Mus musculus: one gene and its partners. The protein of the gene in region 1 interacts with the protein of each later gene in a biochemical or structural test. Links are inferred from orthologs where the notes say so. Each region holds a gene or a part of one and is shown on either strand. Other genes may lie near its edges. The genes, in order: Dnm2, Sh3gl2, Snx9 and Itsn1.

The links.
Region 2: the proteins of Dnm2 (region 1) and Sh3gl2 interact in a biophysical measurement, tested with the Homo sapiens proteins (2 studies listed by BioGRID and IntAct, with this or other methods). The link is inferred for Mus musculus from reciprocal best matches to the Homo sapiens genes DNM2 and SH3GL2.
Region 3: the proteins of Dnm2 (region 1) and Snx9 form a complex in vitro, tested with the Homo sapiens proteins (2 studies listed by BioGRID and IntAct, with this or other methods). The link is inferred for Mus musculus from reciprocal best matches to the Homo sapiens genes DNM2 and SNX9.
Region 4: the proteins of Dnm2 (region 1) and Itsn1 form a complex in vitro, tested with the Homo sapiens proteins (2 studies listed by BioGRID and IntAct, with this or other methods). The link is inferred for Mus musculus from reciprocal best matches to the Homo sapiens genes DNM2 and ITSN1.

What each region holds. Positions count from the first base shown.
Region 1 is NC_000075.6:21,421,629-21,428,937, reverse strand, and holds the start of Dnm2 (dynamin-2), read right to left. Parts: upstream 4,031-7,309; 5' UTR 3,843-4,030; coding exon 3,682-3,842; intron 1-3,681. UniProt on the Homo sapiens protein: Catalyzes the hydrolysis of GTP and utilizes this energy to mediate vesicle scission at plasma membrane during endocytosis and filament remodeling at many actin structures during organization of the actin cytoskeleton.
Region 2 is NC_000070.6:85,201,860-85,209,239, forward strand, and holds the start of Sh3gl2 (endophilin-A1), read left to right. Parts: upstream 1-3,596; 5' UTR 3,597-3,717; coding exon 3,718-3,762; intron 3,763-7,380. UniProt on the Homo sapiens protein: Implicated in synaptic vesicle endocytosis. May recruit other proteins to membranes with high curvature. Required for BDNF-dependent dendrite outgrowth.
Region 3 is NC_000083.6:5,922,714-5,929,408, reverse strand, and holds part of Snx9 (sorting nexin-9), read right to left. Parts: intron 4,805-6,695; coding exon 4,728-4,804; intron 3,338-4,727; coding exon 3,248-3,337; intron 2,204-3,247; coding exon 2,089-2,203; intron 1,205-2,088; coding exon 1,113-1,204; intron 1,104-1,112; exon of another isoform or gene 941-1,103; intron 910-940; exon of another isoform or gene 58-909; intron 1-57. UniProt on the Homo sapiens protein: Involved in endocytosis and intracellular vesicle trafficking, both during interphase and at the end of mitosis. Required for efficient progress through mitosis and cytokinesis. Required for normal formation of the cleavage furrow at the end of mitosis.
Region 4 is NC_000082.6:91,726,022-91,733,312, forward strand, and holds the start of Itsn1 (intersectin-1), read left to right. Parts: upstream 1-3,349; 5' UTR 3,350-3,578; intron 3,579-3,586; exon of another isoform or gene 3,587-4,514; coding exon of another isoform or gene 4,515-4,554; intron 4,555-7,291. UniProt on the Homo sapiens protein: Adapter protein that provides a link between the endocytic membrane traffic and the actin assembly machinery. Acts as a guanine nucleotide exchange factor (GEF) for CDC42, and thereby stimulates actin nucleation mediated by WASL and the ARP2/3 complex.

The DNA of each region.
Region 1 (7,309 bases):
CCTGAGAGCCATAGCTAGCTCACAAAGCTGGCTGGCTCAGATGCTGGTTTCAAATGCTAACGCTTCTAAAATGGTAAAAGCAGTCCTGGTTAGAAGATCCAGTGAGTTACCCGTGAAGTCAGCTCACCCCAGGGTGAGGGTCTCAGTCTTACTTTTTCACTTCTGGGGGAGCAGACATTATACCACTGCCACTCTGCCCAGATTACATACAGCTCTGTCTTAGAGCAGAGAAACCTGGGGTCTGGCTGCCTCACCTACCATGCACAAAGTTCTCAGTTCCATCCCCAGTACTACATAAACCCAAACATGGTGGTGCACTCCTGCAATGCCAGAACTCAGAAGGTAAAGGTAGGAGATCCAGAGTTCTAGGTTAGCCTCAGCTCTATAGCCATTTCAATGTCAGCCAAGATTCAATCATTGGCGCTCAGGTAAAACGCCAGGCATCACTATGCACGCCTGTCATCACAGCACTGTAATGGTCCAGGCAGAGAGATCCCTGGGGCTCGCTGGCCAGTCAGCCTAGACTACAAGTGACTCAAACCCACAAAGACGACGGCTCCTGAGGAACCATGATTAAGGCTGCCCTCTGACCCCACACACTCATATTCAGACACTTGTGCACAGACACACACTCAGGAACCTGGGGCCTAGAATGCCCAATCAATGCCCTTGACTAAAGTCACAGCTTTGGTAGACCCATGCTTGGGGCCTCAGGCCTCTACCTCATTATTACTAAAACCTTCAGGGTAGTTTCAGGCTCTGTAGAAATCTGGACCTCATGTGAAACCTGTTACATTTCAAGCCCTTGGCCTCCAGGGCTAGCAATCTGCATGCAAGTCTCGGCAAGGGGCTGGGCCCACTGAGCTGTCCTAGTGTACACTAATGTTCTTAGAAAAATCTAAGGCAGCCCTGACAGGAAGCATTTTGAGCTGTCCCTAGGTGCTGGGCTGGCCCAAGCCCTTGGCACACTCTCCTTTGCTCCTGGCTGACAACCAGATGCCCCTGGATGGATATTCAAGAACAGCAGAGGAAAGAAACAGCACAAGGGTCAGACAGACTCATAGTTCTGACTCTGTTTAATAAAGTCCATAGCAGGAAATAAAGAATGGGATTGAGTGGGCCTCTTGGCAAAGTCCTGCAACACAGGTACGTTATGCATTCTAGAGTAAAATGAACTTAATGCCATAGTGGTGTGTGCTTGTGACCCCAGCACTTAGAAAATGAAATCGGACAACTGCTGCTACAATTCTGGAGGCCAACCTATGCTATAGTAAGTTCCAGGTCAGCCTGGACTACAGTATGAGACTGTTTCAAAATAAACAAACAAAAATTTTTTTAAAATTAAAAAACAAAAAACCAAAATAACCCCCACCCAGGAACGGTGCTGTATGCCTTTGATCCCAGCACTCAGGAGGTAGAACTAGGTGCATCCCTGTATGTTCAAGGCCAGCCTGTCTACATTCTGAGATGCTTTTTAAAACATTGATCAATAGCTAGGCTTGGTGGACTTGCCTTTAATCTCATCACTTGAGAGGTAGAGGCAAGTCTCTCAGTTAGAGGCCAGCCTGGCCTATAAAGGTGGCTCCAGGACAGCCAGGCTCTGTTACTCAGAGAAACACTGTCTCAAAAAAACCAAAAAACAAATAGATAAATAAACGAACAAACAAACAAACAAACAGGGATATGTGTATATACATATACATAAAATTTTTATTTCATTACCTAAAAGCCATAGGTGTTTTTGAGTATGAATGCAATCAAAGAGAACATAAATATCAACAATATTTCTTATTAGTTTGGTGCTGGGAACTGACCCCTGGGTCTTATTCATGCTAGGCAAGTACTCCATGCCCGAGCGTCACCACACAGCCCTCTCATGGCTTTTTTTTTTTTTTTTGGAGACAGGACTAACAATGGAGCCCATGTTGAACTCAAACTCAAGAAATCTCCTGCCTCAGACTCCCAAAATCCTAAGATCACAGGTGCAGCTAATTCAACCTAAATGTACACTTCCAAGTACCCAGTCCCTGCAGTCTTGAATCAACTTTTGAGGTTTTTTTGAGACTGGGTCTCAATATGTAGCCCTAGCTGCCCTAGAACTCTACTCTATGTAGAGTGAGCTAGCCTCAAATTTAGAGATGTTCTGCCTCCACAAAAGACTGGTAACAACAATAACAGAGGGTGTGTGTGTGAGTGTGTGTGTGTGACCCAATGATAGGGTGAGACAGAGAGAGGTGGATCCCTGGAGCTCACTGGCCAGCGAGAATAGCTGAGTGAGATCAGTTAGCTGCATGGTGTGTGTGTGTGTGTGTGTGTGTGTGTGTGTGAGAGAGAGAGAGAGAGAGAGAGAGAGAGAGAGAGAGACCCAATGAGATCGGTGAGCTGCATGGTCAGTGAGAGACCATGTCTCTACAATTTAAGATGGAAGGACAATGACATAGCTCAATGGATACTAGGACTTGCTATATAAGTCTGCGGCCCGGTGTTTAATCCCCACATAAATTTTGAAGGACTTCACAAAGATTATGCCCTCTGACTTCCACAAATGCACTCTGGCACACACTTGGACACACACACACACACACACACACACACACAATGATAATGTCCACAGCAAAGCAAATGTTAACACTGGGTAGGCACACACTGCAGCATCATACATGGAACACTTCCTGGAATGGAGAAGTGCTGCTGCGGGGAGAGGCAGAGGGGGAGGGGACAGGAGTAAATCAACATCCCTCCTTCACTCACTTCCTGGATCCTACAAACAGCTGCAAGTGGAATTTGCCCACTGGACAGATGGAACAAGCTGAGGCTCCCAGAGCTATCTAGAGAGCATTCCAACTGGGAAGCTCTAGGTTAGGGGATCCTAGCCCAAGAAAGAATCCTAAAGAATGTTTCTTCCCAAGTTCTCCAACCTCTGTCACTCAGAGAGGATGGACAGGCAGGGATGCCTGGGTGGGAATGGAGAACAGACTAATGGATGGATTCAAAGAGCCAGTCGGCCCAAGAGAACCAGATAACAGGAGGCTCCCAAAGTTCAGCCAGTCAGATGGCAGAGGCCAACTCACGTAAATAAGGGGCACAGATGGGCATTTGCACACGAGAGGTCACCTTAGATGGCTAGCCAGACAACGGTGGACTTCAGAGTGAGTTTGGACAGATGGGACAACCAAATGGTGCCGGTAGGAAGCCTGTCTAGAACAGATAACCAGCTAACCAGGCAAGAGAGCAGGCTCCAGAAAATAACTGGCCAGACAGACCCCAGGGGTCATTCCCCATGGATGGCTAAGTGGCAAGTGTTATCTTCAACATCTTAGCACACACACTAAGATTTCCAGGTAGCAGAAGGAAAGAGGAGTGGATCTATCCCGGACTACAGGTAAAGCGATGTCAGAGTTGCCCAGCCATAGCCGGAACTAGAAGCACCAAGAGGGGTCGGCACTGACCGTCTTGCCCCAAACACCGCCCACTATCATCGACTAGTCCCAGACTTGGATCTGCATCTCCAGTCCCTGCGGAAAGCCATGGAGACTCTTGCCCCAGACCTTATCCACTGCCACCGGTGCTGCGGCGTCCGCGAGCCGCAGTTCCGCCATTCCCCGCCCGCCCTCCGCGCCCTAGGCCGCCGCCCGCCCTCCCGGCCGGAGCCCCAGAACCGCCGCCGGCGCGCTCGCTCACCGGCCCACGAAGTTCTCGAGCACCGAACTTTTGCCGGCGCTCTGGCCGCCCACCACGGCGATCTGCGGCAGGTCCAGGTGGCAGCTCTGACCGATGGAGCTGAAGGCGTCCTGCAGCTTGTTAACCAGCGGGATGAGCTCTTCCATCCCGCGGTTGCCCATGGTGTCCGCCTCCGCCGCGCGGATCCCCCGACTAAGACTCTCGGTTCCGATGTGTCTGTGGCCGTTGCTTCCTCCTGCTCTGCTCTGCCGGCCCGCCCGGTCTCCCCTTCGCCGCGACGCCCGCTCCCGGCTCGGCCTCAGAGTCGCCGCCTCATCCGGTTCTCAGGCGACACCCGACCCGAGCGAACAACCCTCCCGGCCTCCGGGGCGGAGTCCGCAACCCTACTGCTATATCCAATTGGTTCAAAGCACTGCCACTCAAGAACGTGAGCCAATAAAAAAGGCACGAGGAAGGGCTAATCTCACAAATTCACTGGGTAATAAAACTGTCACTCTTAAGTGAAAGCCAATAGAAGTCAAACCGGGTTGTCAGACCGGGAAGGCGGGGTCTCTGGAAAAGACACTGAGGCCTCAGCTCACTAGGTTGATTCGGGTTGGCTTATTGGTCGCAGAAACGTCAACCTGCCAAGGGTGTAAGGGATCCATTCTTCAACACTGGATTGTCACTTGACACTAGTTAATTCCGTAAAAATTTCTCATTGGCTGATATAAATATCACTTCTCTACTCCAACCAGTAAGAGGAAAGAGAGCCGCAATCTTTTTCTATAGTTTCTATAGTTTTGTATGCTGGCTACAGACTCTTGATGTTCCTCCTGTCTCAGCCTCCCTCCTGCTAGGATACACGCTACTACCTTCCCAATCCTCACTGACAACTGTGTCATAAAAGTTCTTCCAACTTCCTGGCATTTGCTATCACTTTGTGATATTCTTTTTAAGCAAAAGGCCACAGTGCTCAGGGAAGCACACCGTGGTAAGGTTCAGTGGCTGTTACACCTGAATTCTTAGGCTGTAGTGAAAACCCATATTTTAGAAAGCATCGCAGTCGGGCGTGGTGTCGCGTGCCTTTAATCCCAGTACTCGGGAGGCAGAGGCAGGCAGATTTCTGAGTTCAAGGCCAGCCTGGTCTACAGAGTGAGTTCCATGACAGCCAGGGCTATACAGAGAAACACTGTCTCGAAAAACAAAACAAAACAAAACAAAACAAAAAAACTAAAACAAAAAAACAAAAAAACAAAACAAAGCAGAAAGCATCGCAGATCCCAACTCTGGAAGAATCCCAGTGCCAGTGAAAGATGAGTCGACACTTCTGCCTCATAAAGGCGTTCTCACCCTCTCGTGCTTATTTCTGTACGTTACAGAGGGTCAAGTCTACAGTTCCATTAAGCCAAGCAAGTGTTTTGCGGATGGCTACAACTGTAGGTTTATTTTTACTTTAATTTTTTTTTTCTCCTAGACCAATGGCTCAGTACTTGCTGCCTTGGGAGCCGACTCAAATTTGGTTCCCAGCACCTGCATGACAACTCACACAACCATCAGTGATTCCAGTTCCAGGAATCTGACACCCTCGTCTGGCCTCCACTAGAAACAGACACAGACATAATGCACATACCGACATGCAGGCAAAAAAAAAAAAAATCCATGTACAATTTTTTTAATTTACATAAAATAACAGTTAAAAAGTTTTAAAGATTTATTTTATTTTTATGCGCACCAGATCTGTGCCCGGTGCCCACAGAAGTCAGGAAGGATCAGATTCCCTAGAACTGGAGTTCTGGATGGTTTTATATGAGATTTTAAATGTGTGGGTGCTGGGAACAACAACTGTTCTTAACCACTGAGCTGTCTCTCTAACCCCAAACTTTTCTTTTGCATGCATGGTGTTTGGTCTTGCAGGAATATTTTGTTCACCAGAGTCATGCAGGACCAAGAAAACCAAAAGAGGGCATCAGATCCTCTCAGAACTGGAGGTACAGTTACAAGCTGCTATATGGGTGCTCAGAACTGAACCCACCTCCTCTACAGGAGCAACAAGTGCTCTAAACTGCTAAACCACCACGACTCCAGCCCCTTTATTTTAATTATGTGTTTATGTTGGGTGTGATATAGGCACATGAGATGAGAAGAGGACATGGAATTCCTTGAAGTGGAAGTTAAGAGCAGTTGTCAGTCATCTGATTATGGGTGCTGAGAACCAAACTATAGTCCCCTCCAACAGCAGCACTCTAAACCACTCCTCCAGCCTCCATTTTTTCTCATTTGTGTGGCTGTGGTATGCTGCCCTGTGCATGTGCATACGGAGGTCACAGCTTGACATTAGGCCTTGTCACTTCTCTTAGTTTTTGAAACAGGATTTCTCAGCCAAGAGCTGGTCAGTTCAGCTGAGAAGGTTAGCCAGCAGCCGGAACTGCACACGCTCACCACCATGCTTGACTTTTTATGAGGGTCCTGGGGATCTAGGCCACCATCTCTCCAGGTGCCCCATCCACCCACCACCCAAGCCATTGTAAGGCAGAAGCCAGTATTGCAGCTGTTTCCATGTTACTTCAGCTTTACCACATCCTACATCCTTTTAACTGCCAAGTGCAATGTGGAGATTCACTCCCTAACGCAAGATGGGAGAATACACTACTTTGCAGGCAAAACTGGAGGTTCTGGAAGCACATTTGGGGGAAGGGGGAAGATGGTGGTGTTTACCTTTGACAGAGCCTCATTTCACAGAGCCTTGACTCAAGGCTGTGTAGCCAAGGATGGTCTTAAACTTCAATCCTTCTGCCTCTAACTCTTACAGGCAGGAGCCACCACACCCAGTGTATCAAGAACTCAGAGCTTCTTTTCATGGCCAGGTCCCAGCATTTGTTCTGTATTTGTTTCCTTTTAGGAGGGCTGTGTTTACCTGAGACACAGTCTGTCTAGCATAGGACGACCCTTACTGTGTATCCCAGGCGGGCCTGCAACTCCCAGTCCTCTTCCCCCAGTCTCTTGAACATAGGATTTTGGCCATGCCGCCAATTGCCCGGGTGGAACAATTAATAATAATAATTATTAAATCAGTAATAATTTAATGCTTCTGGGCACACATGTGCTTGAATAAGCCCAGTAAGGAGGCAGCAGGAATGTACACTCTGGAAAGCAGCTGACAGGAGGTGGTACAGGGGTCGCACCGAAGCTGTGAGCAAGAAGATGACAGAGGGAGACCCTGATCTTTAAAAACAAAAACAAAACAAAACAAAAAAAACAAAGGAAGAAAAGGAATCAGGGCATTAAAGCCCATACTTGTTGGCCTTATTAGATAGAGGAATAAAATATTTGTGTAAGCCAATGGGAAACTTTAGGGAACTAGATAGCATCAACTGACAAGCCATTGTTTAAGGAACATGACGTAGTCCCAGGTCCCAAATGTACGAGTTTATGGTTGGTAGGCTTGGTGTTGCAGAGTTTATCAGGACTGCAAGAACCTGGAAACACTAATTATACACAGGAGTTGGCTGAATATTACGTGGAAACTGTTAAAAAAAAAAAAGTCTAGGGTTGGCTTATGTGTCTGTGGGATCAGTGCTTGTCTGGGATGCCCTGGGTTTCATCCCCGGCACATGAACAGGTGTGGTGTGCACACCTATGATCCCAG
Region 2 (7,380 bases), on another chromosome or scaffold:
GCTGACATTGGAGGAGCACCCAGAACTACTGAACGATCTGCAGACGTGTCTAGTTTATCTAAAATAGTCTAGTTTTAAAAATCTCATCGGGATTTTATAATTCAATGAGGCTATAACTAATGGGTGTTCTTATGGTCTGTCTGCTAAGTGATGTACAGGTAGAGATAGACAAGCAAAGTGAAGTCCTTGCGGTTGAAGAGATTAGAATCTAAGACCAATATGAATGTGTACAAATGCACATTAGGCTAGTTCACAGCAGAGACTCACAGCCTGATTCCTGAAGCTCAGAAAATGGGGAAAGGGCAAGAAAGGAAGAGGATGGGGAAAGGCTTCAAAGCCAAGGAAATGGAGGGGGCAGTCAGATAGGAATGTTGGGGCATCAGGAGATCAATATCATGCAGGTCAGGCATCCTTGGACTGGTGTGAGTCACTCACTTGGCTGTCTCATCTTCTCATCTTTCTTCTGTGACTAGGCTAATAGGGCTTAGGTAGGGAGACACCCATTGTGCTTTGGAGAGATGAAGGCTGAATTACAGGAATAAGACTTTCACGTTTTACCTCCAAGGGACCAGGCAGATATGTACCTTGCTATGTAGCTTTTGGGGGAAATTCTGGAAGCAGAGTTATGAAGGTGGCCTTGGCCTTGATTTCCCATTTCTAGGAAGCTGTTGCTAGCCCTGCCACTCCGGGCAAGCACTCGTGCTCCTAGATCGCATCCACAAGCACACCACTCACAGGGCTATGTGGCTAAGGGTGTTAAGCCTGTGACTTAAGTGGTACCAGTGACAGGGCTATGCATTCACTCGGTCATCTCTGTCTACACTTAGCACCGACACAGCTGTCCTGCGTTTAGCTAGAGGCCGTAGTAGAAAAAGAGTGACTCACTGCCCTGTGTCACCTCGAATTTCTCAGCTGTAAGATCTGAAGCTAGGACTGAACGCCTTGGCCTTGTTGTGATTCACATGCTCACTGAGCTGCACATGAATTCTGGAGCAGTTTACCCTTGTGCTGGCCAGAGACTGTGAACACGGTCAGTGGGGAGAAAGATGGAAGTGGGAGCTTTCCATCTGCCTCTCTCCTGGGATCTATATCACCATGAAAGGTAACTAGGGATGCATCAGCCCTGTGCACACTAGCAGACTGGTATTTCCTGGAAGCTTTGCCATAATGCAGAGAGAAGTAGTGCATAAATGATGTGAGGAAATTATTGCTGACCATGAATTTACTGCCCAATTAGTGAGGTGGTGCTGTGTAGGGGATTCGCATAATTGGGCCTTTCTTGAGCTGATCCGGGTTTATTTACCATTTTCCCAGTGATTTTTATCTCGGGAGACGAAAGGGTAAAATGTTGAGTTCGTCAAAGGCCTTCCTTACTGACCTCTGATTCTAACCACAGCCGCCTACGCTGTGCTTTGAGACTTAGTTACAGATCCTTTGCAGTGGAAGAATTCCCATGTGAGAGCCGTTGAGCACCAAGCACACTTTCCTTCTACATTCAAGTTAGAATATATGCACATAAAACAGTGGCTTTGAATCATTGGCCTGGAAATACTTGGGCAGTGCTTCTCAACCTGTAGGTTGCCACCCCTTTTGGGATCAAATGGCCCTTTCACAGGGGTTGCCTATGACCATCAGAGAACACAGATATTTATATAATGATTCATCTCAGTAGCAAAATTACAGTTATGAAGCAGCAAAGAAAAGAATTTTATGGTTAGGGGCACCACAACACGAGGAACTGTATTAAAGGATTGCAGCATTAGGGGGGTTGAGACTGGCTGACCTTGGGGTTCAAGGGCCAATTTACATGTGTGGGCATCTTCCTGCACCATCCCCTCACACCCCTTTCTCTGATGCCTTCCAAAAGTAGCTGCTCAACACCTCTCTTCTGGGGCAACACCCCAAAGGTTTTCATAGCTAACAGTTGAGGCTTAAATAGAATCCCTGACTTAGATGAGACCTAGGTGAGAGCAATAGGTTCAAAGCGCTTTGAAGTTTTCTATGCAGAACCCAACGTGGTTCCTCTGATCTTTAGCAGCATACGCTATGAAGGTAAGTAGTCAAAGAGACAAGGAAAGGCGGGGACTAGCTTTGCTTTAAGATTTTAAGGTTAAGGCAAGTGCTCAAAGTTTCCGAGGAGCCTCTTCAGGTCCCCATTTCACTTCTTTCATGTGTTGAGACCAAAGTTGCAAATTTCAGACCACATCATAGATTTGTGGCAGAGAGAAGCGAACCCTGTGGCCCTGATACCAAAAGGTGAATTATTAAGAATTAGCATGTCCCTCCTGCCTAAATCCTCTAACCAATGTTTATCCCAATGCCTCCACGGTAGTTTAGAAATTAGAAAGTACCACAGATTGGAAGGTCTGGGCAGCAGCAAGGACCACAAGACTACAGACCCCTTCCTTCCTTTTGCTTTGCTTTGCAGACTGGAAGGGTATGCTCACTGCTCACTGCTCCGATATTCTGTTGTGCTGTGATTCACAGTAGCAAGGGTGAGTGGTACCCAGCCCGTGTCTAGAATCCCCTTGCACCTGCTCTTCCGTTCATCTTTACTCAAGCTGCAGAAGTCTACTGGCTTCCTTTACACCAGGCAGTAGAGGGGGGGGGGGCGGGAGGGGAACTGTATTTCTAGGAACCCAATCCAGGTCCTGTTGATTCTTTCCACATTCTCCGTAATTACTCTCCTCTTGGCGGCTCATCACTTTGATCCACACATGCAGGTGTGGCCTGCATCTGAGACTCTCCCACAAGCTCTTCCATACAAGACAAACTTGAAGTGGCTGCTCATAAGAGCACAGATTTCTGGTGCTGCTCTGGGCCCTTCACCCAGTCCCATCCACCCTTTGTCCCTATGTGGTGTTTGTATAACTTACTGCCTTTCCTTTCCTCATTATATAAAAATGTTAGAACGAAAAAAAAAAAGAAAGAAAAAAATGTCCATGATAATTGTGTGAATGCCAAGTTCGCATTCGTTTTTTTTTTCTTTTGAAAATAGAAGATTAAATGTTATTACTCATATCAATATATGCTATAGCTCATATCAATTCCATTCCAGTATCCCAGTCAAACTGTAGGGACCTCTCTTCATCTTAAGTAGTTAAGTTGTACTAGAACAGGAAAAAAAAAGTTGATAGATTTCCCTAAGGTGAAACAAGCTTAAGGGATATTAAAATCGAGGCAGAGAAATGTTTTCGGTGGCCAATCATGCGGGAAGGCAGGGCATGAAATGAGCAATAACTTATTCATGATCCAGATAAGCCGCCACCCTGCTTTTCAACCACAGGGAGGCCAGGCTCAAAGGGCAAGGGCAGTGCGCAGGCAGCACCACTGCGGCTACCTGGGAGCTGGGTCACCTGAGTCTAGACTGCCCAAAGGCGGTGATCCCTTTGCCAGGGCCACGAACGAACGACTCCCACAGCTGAAGACAGCCCAGGCTTCGGACCGTGGAGGGACTTTCGCCCCCGCACAGTGCGGGGGTTCCTCGCGCTCACCTGCCTCGGCTTGCGCCCTGGGCGGGGCTTCCCGCGTCCCCTTTAAGAGGCCGCATCACCCGCCCTGACGTCAGGGTGTCTCTCCGCACAAGCCCGCGTCCCGCGCCGCGCCCCCGCGCCAGCAGCTCCCGCGGTCGCACGACCAGCGGCGGCCCGGCGACCCCAGCCGCCTCTCCGCATCTGCATCTGCATCTGCCGGCCGCGCAGCCTCCCGCATCCCATCATGTCGGTGGCAGGGCTGAAGAAGCAGTTCCACAAAGCCACTCAGGTAGGGCGCGTGCAGGTGCGCCATGGGCCGCCCCGCAGACCGACAGACAGACGGCGTCCTCCCCTGCAACCCCTCCCTGTTCTGATCTGGTCCCCGCGGGGCGCTGCGCGGCAGCCTGGCTCCATAACCCGGCTCCCTGTCTCCGATCGGTGCTCGCTCCGCGAGTCTCCTCCCTGGCCGCTGCATCCCTGCTTCCTCTTCCCACTCCGAGTCCCTGTGGTCCCTGCCACTCTAGCACTCAGACCTCAGTTCCCTTCCCCTGGCATCTCTGCTCTCTGTCCCCGCTGTCTCGGTTCGCCGCCCACCGGGTTCCCAGGCAGTTAGTCCCTGCACGGCAGCTCTCAGGCTCTGCACGGAGGGTGCCGCGCAGGTGCTTGGCGGCGCGGCGGGAGATTATGTAAAGTCGCCTCGGTGCGGTGACCTTGCGGTGTGGTGTGCCCCACTGTCCTGGGATGTGCTGGCTGGAGCGAGGTTCGCTCTGGAGGCTGCGGAGGTGCCCGCGCTCTGCGCTTGCTCCAGGCTTTGCGCTCCCAGGCCTTCTCAGAACCCCTCCTTCCCAGGCCTCCCCAGGCTCCCAGCATGGGAGAATGTGGTTCCCCTAAGGAGCATGCATGCATTAACTTTTTTCCCTGGAGAACTCCTTGGTGAAGCTTATTTGAGGCCATGGTTTGATCAGTGGTCTGCAAGTCTTTAAAGTTCTCCCACGGGTTTTACTGCGGAGGCAGTTGTTAAAAACTTGAAAATCACTGTTTACTAGATGTGCCAAATTTTCTGTGTGGGGTAAGCTGAGATTAAAATTTAATCCAGACCCACATAATTTAAATCTCATTGGGCCCAACTCAGTGATTTTACAAAGAGAAAATGTCCAAAAATACTTACGATGTGACCCATTTCTTACATAATGTGTGGAGTTACAACCCTTTTATTCATTTGGAACAGGTTAAATTTTAAGATATATTTAACAAGAAACGACTTTATTGATAAACCGTAAAATACTTTTTGCGTAACCATTTAGCTTTAAAGATCCTTATCCTAAGCTAACCTTAATTGTGTGGCTTCTGTAATTTCTTGTTTTTTAAAAACATTACTTTTATCTTTTTTTACAATCCAGCCACTCCCTTCCCTCTGGGTCCCCCCTCCCACAGTTCCTCATCCCATTTCTCCCTCCTGTCTCCAAGAGGATGTCACGCACACCAGGTCTTCCCACTCCCAGGAATCTCAAGTCTCTCGCACATCTTCTTCCACTGAGGCCAGACCAGGCAGTCCTCCTCTGCTATACATGAGTCTCATTACCGAGTTCACAGCCTCAGTACTATTGCAAAAGGCATAGGGAAAAGGTGAAGACTGCATTCCTCAAGTTTGCTTAAATTAAGGTGCAGGATGACATTCACCCCTGAGCATCATCTCTGTCACCATAGACTTAGCATCATCAAATGAGTTCTGTTGGGAACTAATTTAGGGAGACAGGAAACAGTCATTTTAGGAAGTGCTTCTAACTACATATATATTTGGTTTTCTCACTAGAATTGTCTGTGATCTCCCTATTGGAAAGGTAGAGCCAAGTATATTATTCACTTGATTCTGGCAACTTTCCAGTTTCACAGAACCAATCTGTGCTACCAGTGAATGGCATAGGACTGCCCTGATGTCACCCACCTTATTTATTTATTTATTTATTTATTTATTTATTTATTTATTTAGGTACTTGTCTCATTTCTAATCTAGACCAAAAGACTGATTCTACCAACATTCCTTTAGGAGCCTTGGCTTTGGGGAGGGAAAGGCTAAGATTTGAATCCCTCTTCTGCTACCTAGGAAATTGAGCAAGCTAGTTTTCTGAATCCGTCCTTGCCAAAAATGAGACAAAATTTCTCAGGGGAAAAGTAAGGATAAATGAATTTGTAGAGCATATATAGAAAATGCTTAATAAGTGGTAATTGTTAATGTTAAGGATAATTCCTTTAGCGTTAGGTACCATTCCTTTCCACTGGTAATAACGAGACTTGAGAACCCAGCCGGGGCTTCGATAACACACACAGTAACCATCTGACTCCATTCAGCTCATCCTGAGGTTGTGTGCAGCTCTGGAAGCAGGAAAGAACTGGAACGTCATCGGGGAAGCCCCGTCTCCAGGTGTGGAGGAGTTCTACTAGGGACGGACCTGCTCCTTACCACTCCGAACCCAGATACTGGGTCACTGTTCACTGCCATTCTCTTCCTTTGCTGAAAAGCCTTTTTGTTTTAAAGGTGAAGCAAAACACAATCTCATTCATAGCTTAATGGAGCCTAGTCTTTAAAAACGTAAGGCAAAGGTTACTCTCCTGTGCATGGATGTGTTATTCTAGAGGGTGTGTAACGCGAGGTGGTGTTTGCCTGCTCTGAGCTCTGAGGGAAATGGTCCTGTCCTGCTTTGCAGTCGTTTCCTGAATCTGATCTTTGCTGCAGAGGAAGTGTTAGGCCCCTGACTGCCATGCTGGTCAGAGAAGGCAACATCTTGCCTTTCTGTGGAGCTGAGCTTCCACAGAGGGGTGGGTGGGATTTCATCAATAGAATATGCCTTTAGTGTCAGTACCGTTGGGTTAGGGTTCCTAGTTAGAGTGTGCCCCTATGGTTCTCATATTAGAACTTAATATCTCTCCCTTTCATCAATGGTTACTCTGTAAGTAAATAATTTTTATTGCAACATAGGACAAATTGAGCAATTACTACTCTACCTTCAGAGAGTTTTATTTTTATTGAGCTTCCATTGTATCATCAGTAATGTCAACTTTTAAAAACTTGTTTGAATTTGCAGCAGTCTGTGTAAACATAGCTTTAGTTCCTGGTTAATACTGCAAGCAAACCCATAATTCTTTTCCTATACTTCATGATCAAGTGTTTGCTATGGTATGTCTTAGTATTTTTTGGCTGTGAAGAGACACCATGACCATGGCAGCTCTTATAAAGGAAAGTGTTTAAGGCTGGGCTTCCAGCTCTGAGGTTTAGTTCATTATCATCATAGTGGGAAGTATGGTGGTGCACTGGTAGCCACTGTGCTGCAGAAGGGGCTGAGAGTTGAACATCTGGATTAACATCTGAATTAGCAGGCATCAGGAAGAGACAATGAGCCTGGCTTGAGCATCTGAAACTTCAAAACCCATCTCTAGTGATACACTTCCTCCAAGAAGCCCACACCTACTCCAACAGCCACTCCCTATGAGCCCTTGGAGGCCATTTTCATTCAAACTGCCACGGGGTGCATATATGGTGTCAATTCATTCTTCAAACTGTATGGCAGTGTAAGAAAATCTTTTTACAGGATGAACTGTTTTAGACAATTACATTATTAGTTTGCTAGAATATACGTAGCAAAGTACCCCAAACTGAACAACTTAAACAACACAAATGTACTGCATCACTTCTCTTGAGAGAAAGATGCTGGAGGTGTTAGGTCACTGCAGCAGGAAGGCCATGGTCCCTCAGACAGCACCAGGCAAGAGCTGCTCCAGGCATCACTTTTAGCTTCTGGGCCTTTATTGGTAGTCTGTCTGGTTTATCTTAACTTACATACAGTGCCTTGATGTGGTCCTCATGTTTACACAGCATCACTGTGTGTGTGTGTTTGTGCTCAACTTTCAG
Region 3 (6,695 bases), on another chromosome or scaffold:
TAAAACATTGTGTTATTTTGGTTTTCCTGAAGAGACTCCTTTGGTAACTGTAAAACCTGGGTCACAAGCAACGGCTGCCTTTGGTTATTTCTCTAACTGAAAACGATACAACTTGTGGGTTAGCAGGGTGACCTCAATCCTCTGGCACTGTCCCCGTGCGTGGAGAGGCTCAGAAAGAAGGAAGTCACACAGTCAGGACTGCTCAAGGCTTTAAAACTAGGAACCAATGTCTGCTCTTCAAAGTAAAGCTTAAACATTTCCAAAGATTATACCTATTCATTTTCTTTTCTCTGCAGCTCCTCTGCCTGTAAGTATGTGTATGTGGCTTGTGTGTGGTTGGTGCCCGCAGAGGTCAGAAGAGGGCATGAGACCCCTGGAGCTGGAGTTAGAGATGACTGTGAGCCATAGTGTGACTGACAGAAACTGAGCCTGGGTTTTCTGTGACAGCAGCAGGAGCTCTTAAGCACTACGCTGTCTCTCCAGGCCCAGGAAAGCTTTTTTGATCCAATATTCCTCAGATGGAATTTTAAAAGATTAAAAAAAAAATCAAACCACTAAACTCTGTTCAAAATGTAAGCCCCTTTGGTTTATCACTCAGGAGTAAAGATTATAACTGACCAAGTCTATCTAGTCAAGGGCACTAGGCCAAAACCTCCCTCCCTTCACACATGTACATGGGGGGATGTTGGGAGGGGACACTCACTGCCCTCACACCTGTGGATGGGGGATGTTGGGAGGGGACACACCTGTGGATGGGGGTGTTGGGAGGGGACACTCACTGCCCTCACACCTGTGGATGGGGGTGTTGGGAGGGGACACTCACTGCCCTCACACCTGTGGATGGGGGTGTTGGGAGGGTACACTCACTGCCCTCACACCTGTGGATGGGGATGTTGGGAGGGGACACACCTGTGGATGGGGATGTTGGGAGGGGACACACCTGTGGATGGGGATGTTGGGAGGGGACACACCTGTGGATGGGGGTGTTGGGAGGGGACACTCACTGCCCTCACACATGTGCATGGGGATGTTGGGAGGGGACACACCTGTGGATGGGGGGTGTTGGGAGGGGACACACCTGTGGATGGGGGGTGTTGGGAGGGGACACTCACTGTTTCATAGAACTGCACTTGCTGCTCCAGGTAGAGGCGGATGACACTGTTGTAATCATAGATCCGGTTACTGTGAAAGTGATTCATCTCAGCTACAACAAAATTATCACAGGGATTAGTTCCCAGCAAGACTTCGAATAACAACATGACATTCTCTGCTTGCCTAAGACTCGTCATCAGCAGGACTTCATCTGGCTGCTTCTAAGAGGCACCAGTTCTCAGCCCAAGTCTACCAAGAGCCTAGAAACACAGCTGACCCCTGCAGCAAGTGCCACTGTCTAGTAATGGATGGCTGTCACTGACTAGCTGAATTCCACTGACAGCCTCAGTCTGCACAGGCACATGTCTGTCAGCCTTCACCAGACACAGAGACGGCCATTGCTGTTCTTTTCTCTGACACACGCACACCTCTAGAAATCAGCTGCTTTCTTTCTAACTAAATTATGTCTAAGTGATACCCACAAGCCTCCTTTAGATTCCATGGTCCCAGAGCACAGAGTTCACAGACCTCTAGAAGCTGTACTAAATGTACTAATTTATGCATTTTTTTAAATTGTAGAAGTGCTCTGTCTGCATGCACACCTGCACGCCAGAAGAGGGCATCAGATTCCTTTACAGATGGTTGTGAGCCACCATGAGGTTGCTAGGAATTGAACTCAGGACCTCTGGAAGAGCAGCCAGTGTTCTTAACCACTGAACCATCCCACCAGCTCTGGACTTTGGAATTGAATACAACAGTGTGATATTAAAGGCTGTTAACAGAATGTGTCACTTAGAAGTAATGATGTATGGGTGTAATCACCCACAGCTATCCCAAGTTCATCTGTAAAATAAAACGCTACCTAGAAGCAGATAGACATTTTAAATTAGCTTTGAATTTCACTGGGACTCAACATTTGGATTTCTACCAGCAAGCAGGTTTGACGCTGGGAGCTGGGAACAGCTCTTCCCAGTTACTCACCACCCTTTCTCTTACCTTGCAGAGCGTAAGACATGGTGCCAACTCTCTTCACCATGGTCTGCTTGTCTTGGGGAGTAATTTTACTAGTTGCAACCAGCTTATCACTTTCTTTCACTTTTTCTATTGCTCCCTGGAAAATACATAAATGTAACAGTATTTAAGAAGACAAAGCAAAGAGCAGTAGTCATTAGCTGAAGATGCAATGCTGACACTCTGTGGTACAGAGCAGAACATCCCAGGCCAACTCCCTCTAAGTCCCTCTGAAGCCTGAAGGCTGATGCTCCTGGAAACTGCAATAAAGCTAGAATGTGCAGTGCTACACACTGTGATAAGAGAAACAAACAAAACTCTGCCCATGTAAGATTCTGCGCTGTTGGTGTCAGGAGTACACAGAGGAGAAGGGATGAGAGGTCAGAAAGGCACATGAGCTGTCTCAGGGGCACGTGTCCTCTCTGCTGCTATGACACAGCATTTACGAGCGAGCCGGGCTTGGCTGTGCAGACTGCAGGGCTTTCCTTTGTTGTTTGTGAGAGGTCCTGGGTCCTGTACTCTCATTCTGGATGGAAGCAGCTGTAAACACTGGCGCTGGTCCTCACGCAGCTCCAGACACCACTCAGTACTTATGTCCCCCGCAAAGACAGCTCCACTGTGAAGTGTAAGCGAGGCTCCAGGCCTGACCCTCCAACTCTGCTGCTCAAGTTCTGACGAGCCAACCTCCTGAGTTTCATATGAAGCTGTCTGAGTTACACAAACATTGTTTGTGCTGCTCCTTCATGATTCCTCATGGAGCACTGCTGAGACACAGACCAGCCCTTTGCTGAGAGCTTCCTAACAAATGCAAGGGCACCTCAACACACTAGCGTACCACAGAGACCCTGAGAGGAAATGCTAACCAGCATTAAATCATCAAGATCTACCAACTAACTTTTAAATTTAGTTTTAAAACTTTATGGTGGGACTTAGGATACTGTGCCTTCATCTTCCTTTTGACACAGGGTCTCAGTGTGTAGTCCTGTCTGGCTTGGAACTTATCTGTAGACCAGGCTGGCCTCAAACTCACTGCTGGGATTACAGGCGTGCACCACCACATTTCTTGTGGATACACGTAGGATCTAAACAACTGCGGCTCGGCGATGCTGTGCGTCTGGGAGGCCCTGAGAGCACAGTGACTTACCTTGTGGGCACCAATGATGTCCGGGAAGCAGCCGAGAAAGCCTTTGTACTCATGGTTGCACTCCATCAGGAAGTGGAGGTCCTTCTTTGGCTATAACGAGACACAGGCTGGCTGTTACTAGTGGAGGATTTAGAAAATTAAAGAGAAGAAACTAATGAGGAATGATGCCCACATCCTCCTGTGTGACAGAGGGCTGAGTGCTGCTTCTTTACTGAAATGCTCTCACTGTTTAGGGTCTGGCTGGCCTTGAACCCACATACATCTGTGTGCCTCTGGCTCCTGGGTGCTGGGATTAAGGGTATGTGCCATCGTGTCCATCTGTGCCCCCACCCTGGAGAGTCAAGTCTCTGCGGGATTGGGTGCATCCACTGAGGCCAGAGATGGCAGCCCTCTGCTACATATGTGTCCTGGGCCATTTTTAATCAATAAAATACAGGCATAAAATTATAACAAGCAAAGATGTTACCGTTTAATGTCTATATTTTAATAGACAATAAAAAATACTGCCTACATTCCTGAGGCTCATCCAAGGCACTTCACAGATGAGGAAAGCAAGCTAGAGAGGGCAGGCAGCAGTGCAAGGGCTATGCCAGGGCTCCTCGCCACTCTAGCCTCTGGCTGAGAGTGGGTCAGAGGCACCGTGGCCAACTCACTTCAGTTCCATCCCCTACCTTCATTTTTGGACGGTGTTGGGATCAAAATCTGAGCCTTACAGATATGAATAGCAATCTAGGCCAACTACCACTGAGCCACAGGACCCCCACACACACACACACACACACACTTAGATTCTTTTTTTTTTTTTTTTTTTTTTTTTTTTTTTTTTGGTTTTTTGAGACAGGGTTTCTCTGTGTAGCCCTAGCTGTCCTGGAACTCACTCTGTAGACCAGGCTGGCCTCGAACTCAGAAATCCGCCTGCCTCTCCTCTCAAGTGCTGGGATTAAAGGCGTGTGCCACCATGCCCAGCCTAGATTCTTTTTCTTTGTCTTCTTGAGAAAGGGCCTTACTCTGTAACTGAGATCAGCTTAAAACGCTCCATGTTGCCAGGCCCTGCCAGGCGTGGTGGCGCACGCCTTTAATCCCAGCACTTGGGAAGCAGAGGCAGTCGGATTTCTGAGTTCGAGGCCAGCCTGGTCTACAGAGTGAGTTCCAGGACAACTAGGGCTTTACAGAGAAACCCTGTCTCGAAAAATCAAAAAAAAAAACCCAACACAACAACAACAACAACAACAAAAACGCCCCATGTAGCCCAGGCTAGCCTCCAGCCTCTGGTGTTCTAGTACTACAGGTGTAAGCTACAGGTGTAAGCTACAAAGCTTCACTTGGATTTCTTAATGAGACATTTGTCTTCTCTGGCTTAACTGAAAAAGAAAAACATTATCACTAAATAAAATGAACAGAAAGCCACAGAAACAGAAAGGGGACAGCTGTTTGGGTTTAAACAACCAATGTGGGCTGGGGAGTGTGATCCCAGCAGTACCTGCTCTGCCACAAGGCTGGCGATCTCCTCATACGTCTTCCCAGCTTCTGTGATTGCATCGTTAAGGTCGGTCTCTCCTGAAACAGACAGCAGTCTTGGAAGAGACTATACTGTGTTACACATATTCCCCCACACTTACGGTTTTTGTTACAGACTTTATTGATAGTTTTAGTGTAGAAAACTTAAAAACTGTCAACGTTGGTGAGAACTCCCATCCCCCACTCTTTGGTTTCCAGACAGCAGATGGTGTCTGTGCTTTTAATGTCAGCTTGACATAAGCTGTAGAGTCATTGGAAGAAGACACCTCGGCTGAGAAAATCAAAAACTAGGCTGGCCTCGGGTGCATTTTCCTTACTAATGATCACCGCAGGAGGGCCCAGCTCACCGTGGGTGGCTCCACCCCCTAGGCTGGTGGTCCTCAGTGCTATACAAAAGGGGGCTAAGCTAGCTAGGAGGCACAGGCCAGTAAACAGAGTTCCTCTATGGCCTCTGCAACAGTTCCTGCCCTGACTTTCCTCAATTGTAAGCTAAAACAAATGCTTTGCTCCAAGTGGCTTTTGGTTAGTGTTTGATCACAGCCATAGAAACTCTAACTCAGACAGTGACCAGCTTTTCCATCTAGACCCCGTGCTCCCGGTTTCTCTTTTCCTGGGACACACATCACGTTCTAGGCAATCTTTAAAGAACAAGGACACTGCGGCACACCTAGGAAAAGGTCATGGCTCTGCTCTCACGAGGAGCAGAGCAGCGTGTGGGCCTCCAGCACCTCAGGCAGGCTCTGTGAGAGCCAGTGTGCAAAGGTAGTGCACACACAGACAGGATGGCATGTTCCTTAACCTGGGGCTCTTGTCACCCCTGTCTTTTTGTGGGGTGTTAGGAGTGTGAGTCATGCACTACACACTCAATGTCTGTGGTGACACCCTCTGTCCCTCCCATGCCCTCACGCGGGCCACCAGGCCTGGAGGCTTAACCTGATCCATAGTCAGTTTCTAGCTGAGTCTAGTTTTTGCACTTCCAGAAGCGGCCTCGATCGTCTCTGACAGAACTGCACCTTTCTCTGACATCGCTTCTTTGTTCTTCTTTAAAACTCTTCCATCAGGAACCCCTGCTTTGCGGAGCCCCTGGCCACCACCAAGTGACATCTGAACAGGGAAAGCAGCGCCAATGCGTGTGCCTGTCGTTACAGTTTCAGAACTGCAGATGGAGCCCACGCTCCCCCAAGGCCCTGGGATTACATTCCAAGTATCTTATTAATTCTGGTGTGCATATGTGTGCTAGACCTCATTTTGTGGCAATTACTGTTTTCACCAATGGTCCAATTTTCTTCCTTGGCCAGGGGGAGACTCCTCAAATGGGCATATCTGAGGGAGGCACCTGGCTCACTTTGGTGAAGGGTGCCAGGCCACATACTGTGTTCCTCCATGTAGGTGCCGTCCTTACGCCTTCTCACGGCTGGCTGTCTTACTAAAGACATTTCCATGCAAGGATCTCCAAGACTATGGGATGTTTCATGGTTTGGCAGGGTCATGCCAACAATTCTTACACTGTTCTAGTGTCACTATCCATACTGCTGTGGATGCAGCCAGAGATTTATCTGGTGGAATTAAGGCAGCCTTAGGAACCAAGCTCATTTAAATAATTAGAAGACCAAGCTGAACAGCCACTGAGCACTGTCTTAAAACAGATGCCAACCAGAGGAATTGAGAAGCTCTTTAAAAACAAGTTTTAATAAACTTAATAAGTCATAAAATATACTGAGTACATTTAATGCCAGTGTCCTGTGCAATATAAATATCAACTGCTCATTGGCTGACAGCAGAGATGGTACAGGCTGCTCTTGGTGCCCTCAGCAGGCACTCGGAGCCTCACTCTGCTCAGGAAGAGTAAACCCACATGCTCTAAGGCACAGCAGGGTGACACAGCACCTATTGTATGCTTTATGACAGTGTACCAGCACCTACTGTATGC
Region 4 (7,291 bases), on another chromosome or scaffold:
TGGTAAGAAAATCTCTACCTGTTAACATTACAGCATCCTCACGTAAATGGCGACCTTATCTGCCAGTTCATGATAGGATCCTGAGGAATCATTTAGATGTGGAATACAGATGATAATTTTGATTTTAGTATGAAGGTTTCTGGTGCTCCTCACTCAGCTCAGTAGGCCACGTCCTCTGCTGGGACTGCCATCTCTGTTTGTATTCCATGCCTAACTCAGAAGGCGTGAATTATCCTGCGGCTCTCCTCCTAGTGGCTGCCAGAATTCTCACCTAAACTATACTGCCTTCTTTCAAAACTCTAATAAAAATGTCCTTGAGCTTCCTTACCAGAAGACAAAGAGTTGAAAGAGGAAACAACCTCGTAAAGTATATTATATAAAAACTGGAAGGAAGTCACTTTGTGAAGCATTATACTCTGCCATTGTCTATTTACAGTTCTCAGCACAGTGTTGTCATAGGTCTGCAAAGGCTACAGTAAGCCAACAGTGCAGGGGAGGCTGAGGCCAGCCAGCCTGGACCAGCTACTGAGACAAGAAGAGTCTGCCACAAACACAACCAGGAGACACTGTGTCTGTGGGCTTTCATTCTTTTTTTTTTTTTACTACTTTGAGGCAGTCTCACTAAGTTGTCTAGGCTGGCCCTGAACTGCCCATCCACTGGATGGGAGTCCAGGCCTGCACCACTAGGGGGAATGCCCATGTGTTCTTGGAATGAACCATGTCATTTTCCGAGTTCTCAAGCTTTTCCCAGCCTCCTCCTTGAGGGAGGCACACAAGTGAATCAGGACTCTTTCTGGTCCAGAGGCTCAGGAATCTCCATCAGGTTTGCACCTTTCTTCTTAACATGGAGCAGCATGGAGAACTATAAAATTACCACAATTATTTTACCACAGATGCCAGGCAGCTTTATCTTGGTTTCTTTGAGGTGGGGTCTCTCTATGAAGCCGTGGAACTTGCTCTGTAAACCATGGTGGCCTTGAACTCACAGAGATCTGCCTGCCCCTGCATCTCAAGCACTAGTCAAAGGCATGGGCCACCACCACGCCAGGCCAGGCAGCTGGATCTGTGTCTGCACCCTGCCTGTGTGCCCTGTGCCGTTGGATCACGAGAGGGCTTCAGATCCGCTGGAACTAGTGTAACAGAGGTGGTTACAGTGGCGAGCCCTGGTCCTCTGGGAGAGTACCAAGTGTCCCTACCCTGAGCCAGCTCTCCAGCCTTGGGCGGCTTGATTTTACACGGGGAGCACTGTTTCAAATATGAACACCTCATCTCCTTCTACATGTGGAGACAGAAGCGTGGGTGACATTAATTAGAAAAGCCAGTAATAATTGTACATTGCAGTGGCTGATGCCTAAGATTTACAACTCCCAAGAGACAGGACCCCGCAATAGGACGCAGGCTGCTGCAAGGACTGAGTGAGTATAGTACACAGCGCACACATTACGGAAGTTGGCTTTTTAATAAATATTACTTTCCCTGGTATTCTTGTAAGCTCAGTATCGTATTGTGAAAGTAGTTCTGAACCCATGTACTGAAGCAGCAAAGGGATGTCGCTGGCAATCACATGACTAACACTGCTGAGTTTGTGCAATGGTCTCTTGCATCATCTGGATTCGGAGAGCGGCGAATAGCCACAGGTGGCTACTCCGCACGTGAGTGGCGTGCCCTTAGGATGAGGGTACGAGGGTATGCTGCGAGGGTAAAACGCACAACAGATACACTGTCTCATTTAAATATCTGATTTCTTTAAAGGTTGAAATAATATTTGGATAAGCTGGTTTAAGAGAAACGTAAAATTAATTTCACGTGGTCTCTTCACTGTCCAAATGTGGCTCCCAGGAAATCTAAAAGCGTCTGGGTGCCTAGAACATCTGTCCTGGACAGGCAATGCAAAACTCAGCTACTGTGGACTGGCTATACTTGGCAGTTTGTTTAAAATGCCATATATAGATATATATATATAATTTTTAAAAAGCAAATGCAGACCACCAGGCCCAAATCCAGAATCAGTATCTGCACCTCCTCACGACCCTGGGATAATTCTTTAGTATGGCTCAAGTATGGCCGGCTCAATGAAGCAGGCAATTCCTGACCCAAGGCCCCATTACTGCGAACACCCACCCTTGTTTGCTTTAGGAAACCGCTTACTGGAAATGCAAAGAGAAGGATAAGAAGGGTGACAAGGGAAGTAGTAATAGAGACAGCATCAGAAACAGTGATAGGGAGAAGCTGGGGGCGGGGAGGACTCAACCCAGGAGAAAGGCAGTTCTAGACCTTTGCCTCCATAAACGCGGAGGAAGAAGCAAAGATCAGTCTACAATCAAAACCTAGCCAGGGTCAGGAACTGTCCGTCAAATCTAGTATTACCCGCCCCTCGGCGGCCTCGGCCAAGCTAGGCCTGAGCCAGGGCATCTCTGAGGTCGGCGTGTGATGCGAAGTACCAGTCTCCCCAGGGTTAGACAGCTCCTTCAGGCGTTTCTCCATTTTTCGCCCAAAGTCCCATTTCAGAGACACACATCGTTCTTCCCTGGCTCACCTGGCTCGGAGCAACCTCAACCGCCAGCGCCTTCGCCGCCGCCACCTTCCCAGTCCTTCTGCAGAGAGCCCGCCTTCTTGGGTCCAAACAGTACTGCCATTGGTCAGACTGCCCGTCACTACCGCAGGATGACCGATCTGGGGGAGGCTGTGACGAACGCCATGGCAACTGAACCCGGAACTACATCTCCCAGCATGCTGCTTCCCGTAGAGAGACGAGTCGCCGCCCCAGGGACCACCAATAAATGGGAGAAGTTGGGCGTTGCCAAGATGGGTTCCGTTTTATGCAAATTAGAGTAAAAGGCCACACCCTTCCTCATTCCAACCGTAACCCCTACCATCTTTCTTCAGTCTTTGTGTCTTTCGCCTTTCGTGCCCACGCTCTTTCTGCAAAACCTTCAATTTAGTTGAATGTATCCTAGCTACTGTCGCGCATAGAAAAGAGCAAAGCGCCAAATCGTGAAACAAAATCTCCGCACGCATAGAGCAGAAACCTCTAGTTACGCCTTCAAGGGACGAGACAAGGATGGGAGGGGAAAAAAGTGTGTGTGTGTGGGGGGGTGCTATCCAAACTACTTCATTGGTGTATCTCGTTGTCACTCTGTACACCTCTATTTCCTTTGGCTCCTTTCTTCTTTTTTGCCCACCTAGTGGGCGGAGTCATAGGAGAGAGCGAAGGCGTGGTCTCCGCCGTCCGATTGGCAGGCGGTTATCCCCGCCCATCTATGGGTGGGGCGGAGGGCAGGCTGTGGGCGGAGGGGCGGCGGCGGAGGGAGATGAGGAGTTAGGCGGGAGTGAGGGAGCGAAGGAGCGAAGGAGGGCGAGAGGAGTGGAGCGGCGCGGGGAGGGCGCGCAGCTTGGTTGCTCCGTAGTACGGCGGCTCGCAAGGGAGCATCCCGAGCGGGCTCCGGGACGGCCGGGAGGCAGGCAGGCGGGCGGGCGGGGATGGTGTGCGCGGCTGCGGACTCGGCGTTCCTCCGCGCGGCGTGCGGGCTGCACTGATTTGTGTGAGGGGCGGCCGCGCGCACCCGCCCGGAGATGAGGTGAGGAGCTGACGCGGGCGGCCTGGCGCGCGGGCGGGGGTCGGCGATGGCCGCCCCGGGGTCGGGTCCAGCGGCCGGGCGCGCGTCCCTGCGGCCGCCGTCGCCGCTCCGCCCGGTCTTTCTCATCCTCCCCGGGGGCAGCGGGGCGGGCGGGCCGCGGCGGTGGCGGCCGCGGGACGGGTTCGGGCTGAATGGGCGTCCGCAGCCACGGCCGGCGCTCCCGTGGGGGGCATCGCGGCGGGCGGTCCTTCCACCGCTGACCCCTCTGCCCTCGGCCGCCGGAGGGTGGCGGGCCGACCCGGCCTCCCGGGGATCCCGAGCTCGCGGGAGCCGCATCGCGCCGCCCGCGGGTGCCCCCGGCCTCGAGTCCCCGGCTCATCCTTTTTCTCTAGCGCCTGCTTGGAATACCCTGTCAAGTGAAGGGCGGTCAATGCCGTTTGGGCCGAAGTGGTGCGGCCGGGGCTGGCTCTGATGGCATTTAACAGAAAGCGGCTACCCTTGCAGCGGGCGTGCGTCCCCTTCTCGGCCGCTTCGCCCTCCTTGCGCACGCACTGACTCGGGTGTCTGCTGTGGACCCAGTGCATAATTGCGGTCCCTTCTTGGGGGTGGGGGGGGGCACCAGAAAATGCAATCCGGATTCCCAGAAAGAAAAAAAAGAAAAGAAAGAAAGAAAAGCAAGGAGGAGCTGGCTGGATCTCCCTTCACTTCTGTTTGCCTTTGCTTTGGAAGACAACTTCGCTGATCCTCTTGCCTATGAGCAGTCTTCTATTGTTGTGATTCAGACTACAGGCTTTGCTTTTGAAGGAATAGATTAGTGGCTTCTTGCTGCAGCTTGAGGGTGTAGAGGTATTTGGTAGCATCTTGAATGTGAAAGTTTGCGACTTTGCCCTCATCACTGCTTTTCGGAAAACAGAAGCAACCTGGAAATGTAAATGCATGCAGACTCTGGCCAGATGCGGTTCTTTTGTGTTTATCGGTTGGTATCTTTCTCTTGGTACTTCGTGGTCGGAAACACGGAGGATAAAAAAGAAAAAAAGAGTCTGATAAATAGCATAGATAGTGAAAGCATGGGAACAAATGCCCGTGGAAAATATCAGTTCTATTTTCAGGGAGGCCGGTTTACTAATCCCGCTGAATTGATGAAGAGAAAGGCTTGCTCATGGATTATGTAGTGGACAGGATGTGAGGGCAGGAGCTGGGGCCAGGAGCCCGCAGGCCAGCTGCTTGGCAGGGTGTTTCTCTAAATGCTCCAAACTAGAGGAATGTATTTATTTGTTGGGATACTTTTATTTTTAGAAGATGTTAACGGTGAAGAGTGCAGACGTTTCAGCAACCATTATGGTTACCATTTTTGTTACTTTTTTTTTTTTACACTAGTTTGCTTGAAATATTTTGTATGTGTGTGTGAGTTCCCTTATAACTTAAGAAGTTTTTAAAAAGCAACGTCTTTCTGTAGGAGATATGTAAAGAACTCAGGAAATTATAAAGGATTTAAATTAAGAAGTGAAGGCCACTGATTTGGTGACAGGGCATAGATATTTCTATACACTTTTAAGTGGCTGCAGTAAGGCACCTCTCAGAGAGTATGTGTTTAAAAAAAAAGTGTCTGTCATTGAAATTGCTGAGGATTGTGGTACCGCCACAAAACTATTATTATTCTGCCTGAGTAAGAGAGGAAATGAACACATTTTAATGTACTTTGGAACCCTGTGGATTGTTCAGATGCTGAGCATTGTGAAATAGGGCATAAAATGAGTAGCGGCAAGTTAGTTCCCTGAAATGTTTGTTCCTCAGCATTTTCTTTCTTTGAATCTCTCTCTTTCTCTCTCTCTCTTTCTTTCTTTCTTTTTAATTTTTAAAAAAAGATTTATTTATTTATATGAGTACACTGTAGCTGTTCTGATGGCTGTGAGCCACCGTGTGGTTGCTGGGATTTGAACTCAGGACCTTTGGAAGAGCAGTCAGTGCTCTAACTGCTAAGCCATCTCTCCAGCCCACATCCATCCTTCCTTCCTTCCTTTTTTCCTTTCTTTCTTTCTTTCTTTTGCTGTTGACTAGCAGTTTCTTTTTCCTCTGGGCATTCTTTATCTTTTCCCCAAATAACCTAGATTGAGATACACCCTTAAAACACTTGCAAGAGCTTAAAAGGGAGGCCCTGGTAAATTCCTCTGCCTGTGCTTTTTCTCTTTTGGTGATTGAGCCAAGCCTTGGAGCATGCTAGAGTGTAGCCTAGCACCTAGCTACATCTGCAGCCTCACGTTGTCTTTGTGTGTGGTACTGCTGGCATTAGATCCTGGGGCCTTGTGCTACAGTCTCTAGACTCTCATCCTTTTAATTTGCTCAACCTGTGACTTAAAGAAAATTAATTAATGGAGGTTGGGTTTATGTCAGACTTCTCTTTTTAGTGACTCCCTCCTGAATGGCTCCACTTACTGGCTCCATCTAAGTCTGGCATTCAGATATCTTTACATCAGCTTACCAGGTTTCTGTCTCTCCAGCTCAGTCAGACAATGGGAAGTAGTCAGTATTGTCAATACAGTTTCCAGGAATTTCTCCAAGCCAGAGAGAGAACTTGGAGAACCTTGGCATTGTGCTTTTCTCTCTTACCGAGTGTCTCCTAAGACCGTCTCTGAAGTGGATAGCAAGCTTTTCAAGTAGCAGAGGTTTTACATACTGTGATGAGGGTTTCAGAAGAGCAGAATTGGTGTGGCCTGCCTAGAAACTAAGCCAGTGCCTTTCAGACCGTTGCAGGGTGGATGGGTGAGCCACACTGCCTCCATCCCACTGTTTTGAGTCTTTACCTGCCAAGTTGGTCACATCACAGAGTAGTCACAGCGCTGTGTCCTAGCCAGTTCCCCTAAGCTTGACCAGTGTTGAATGTACAGCCCTTCTGGGTGATGTGCTAGAAAGATGTCTAGTAGATGTTGCCCCTGAGGGCTCAAAATTTAATGTAGAGTCTAATCACGTATCATTTTATAAATGATGATAATCCCAACATAAAGAATCATTTTTAGAAAATATGGACAATACATATGCTTTCCAATTTGACTCTTATGATATACGACCTTTACTCCCTTTTACAGAGTCTACCACAGGGTCCTATAAATTACAGATTTTATGTGGGTGAGCGCTACATGCAATGCCAAGCTCTGAAGAATATGGGACTTCATCACATATTGTTAATGACTTAGATGTAGTTACCAAACCTCTCAGGACCTCAGTTTTGCTAAAAATGGGAAGAATGGCAGTGGACTTTGCATACTTCTATGTTGCCCAGGCTTGCCTCCAAGTGCTGGGGTTTCAAGCATGTGTCACAGTGACCTACACTTAAACGCAGTCAGTTATTAAGCACTAGTTCACACTGACAGGAAGAATTGGAGTGTGTGAGATAGAAAGTTTGCAAGCTGACACTCACGTGGTTTCTGTGCTGCCATACTGTGTGGTCACTTTGTGTAGAGATTCATTGCTTCCTAAAGGAAGTCTCTTGATAATATCTTGGTACTAAATGTATACTTTACTTAATAAACTACCAAGGATTATACATATGATTACAAAATAAATTTCATGCTCACTTTCATCTTAATTGTATTACTTTAGAATTAGTCTTAACCAATTTAGAGTGAATAACTAATAGCCTTTGTATTTTAAAAAGATCACACAGAAATACAGAAAAGCAAGGAAACTATAAAATACCCATAAATCCGTGGCCCAAG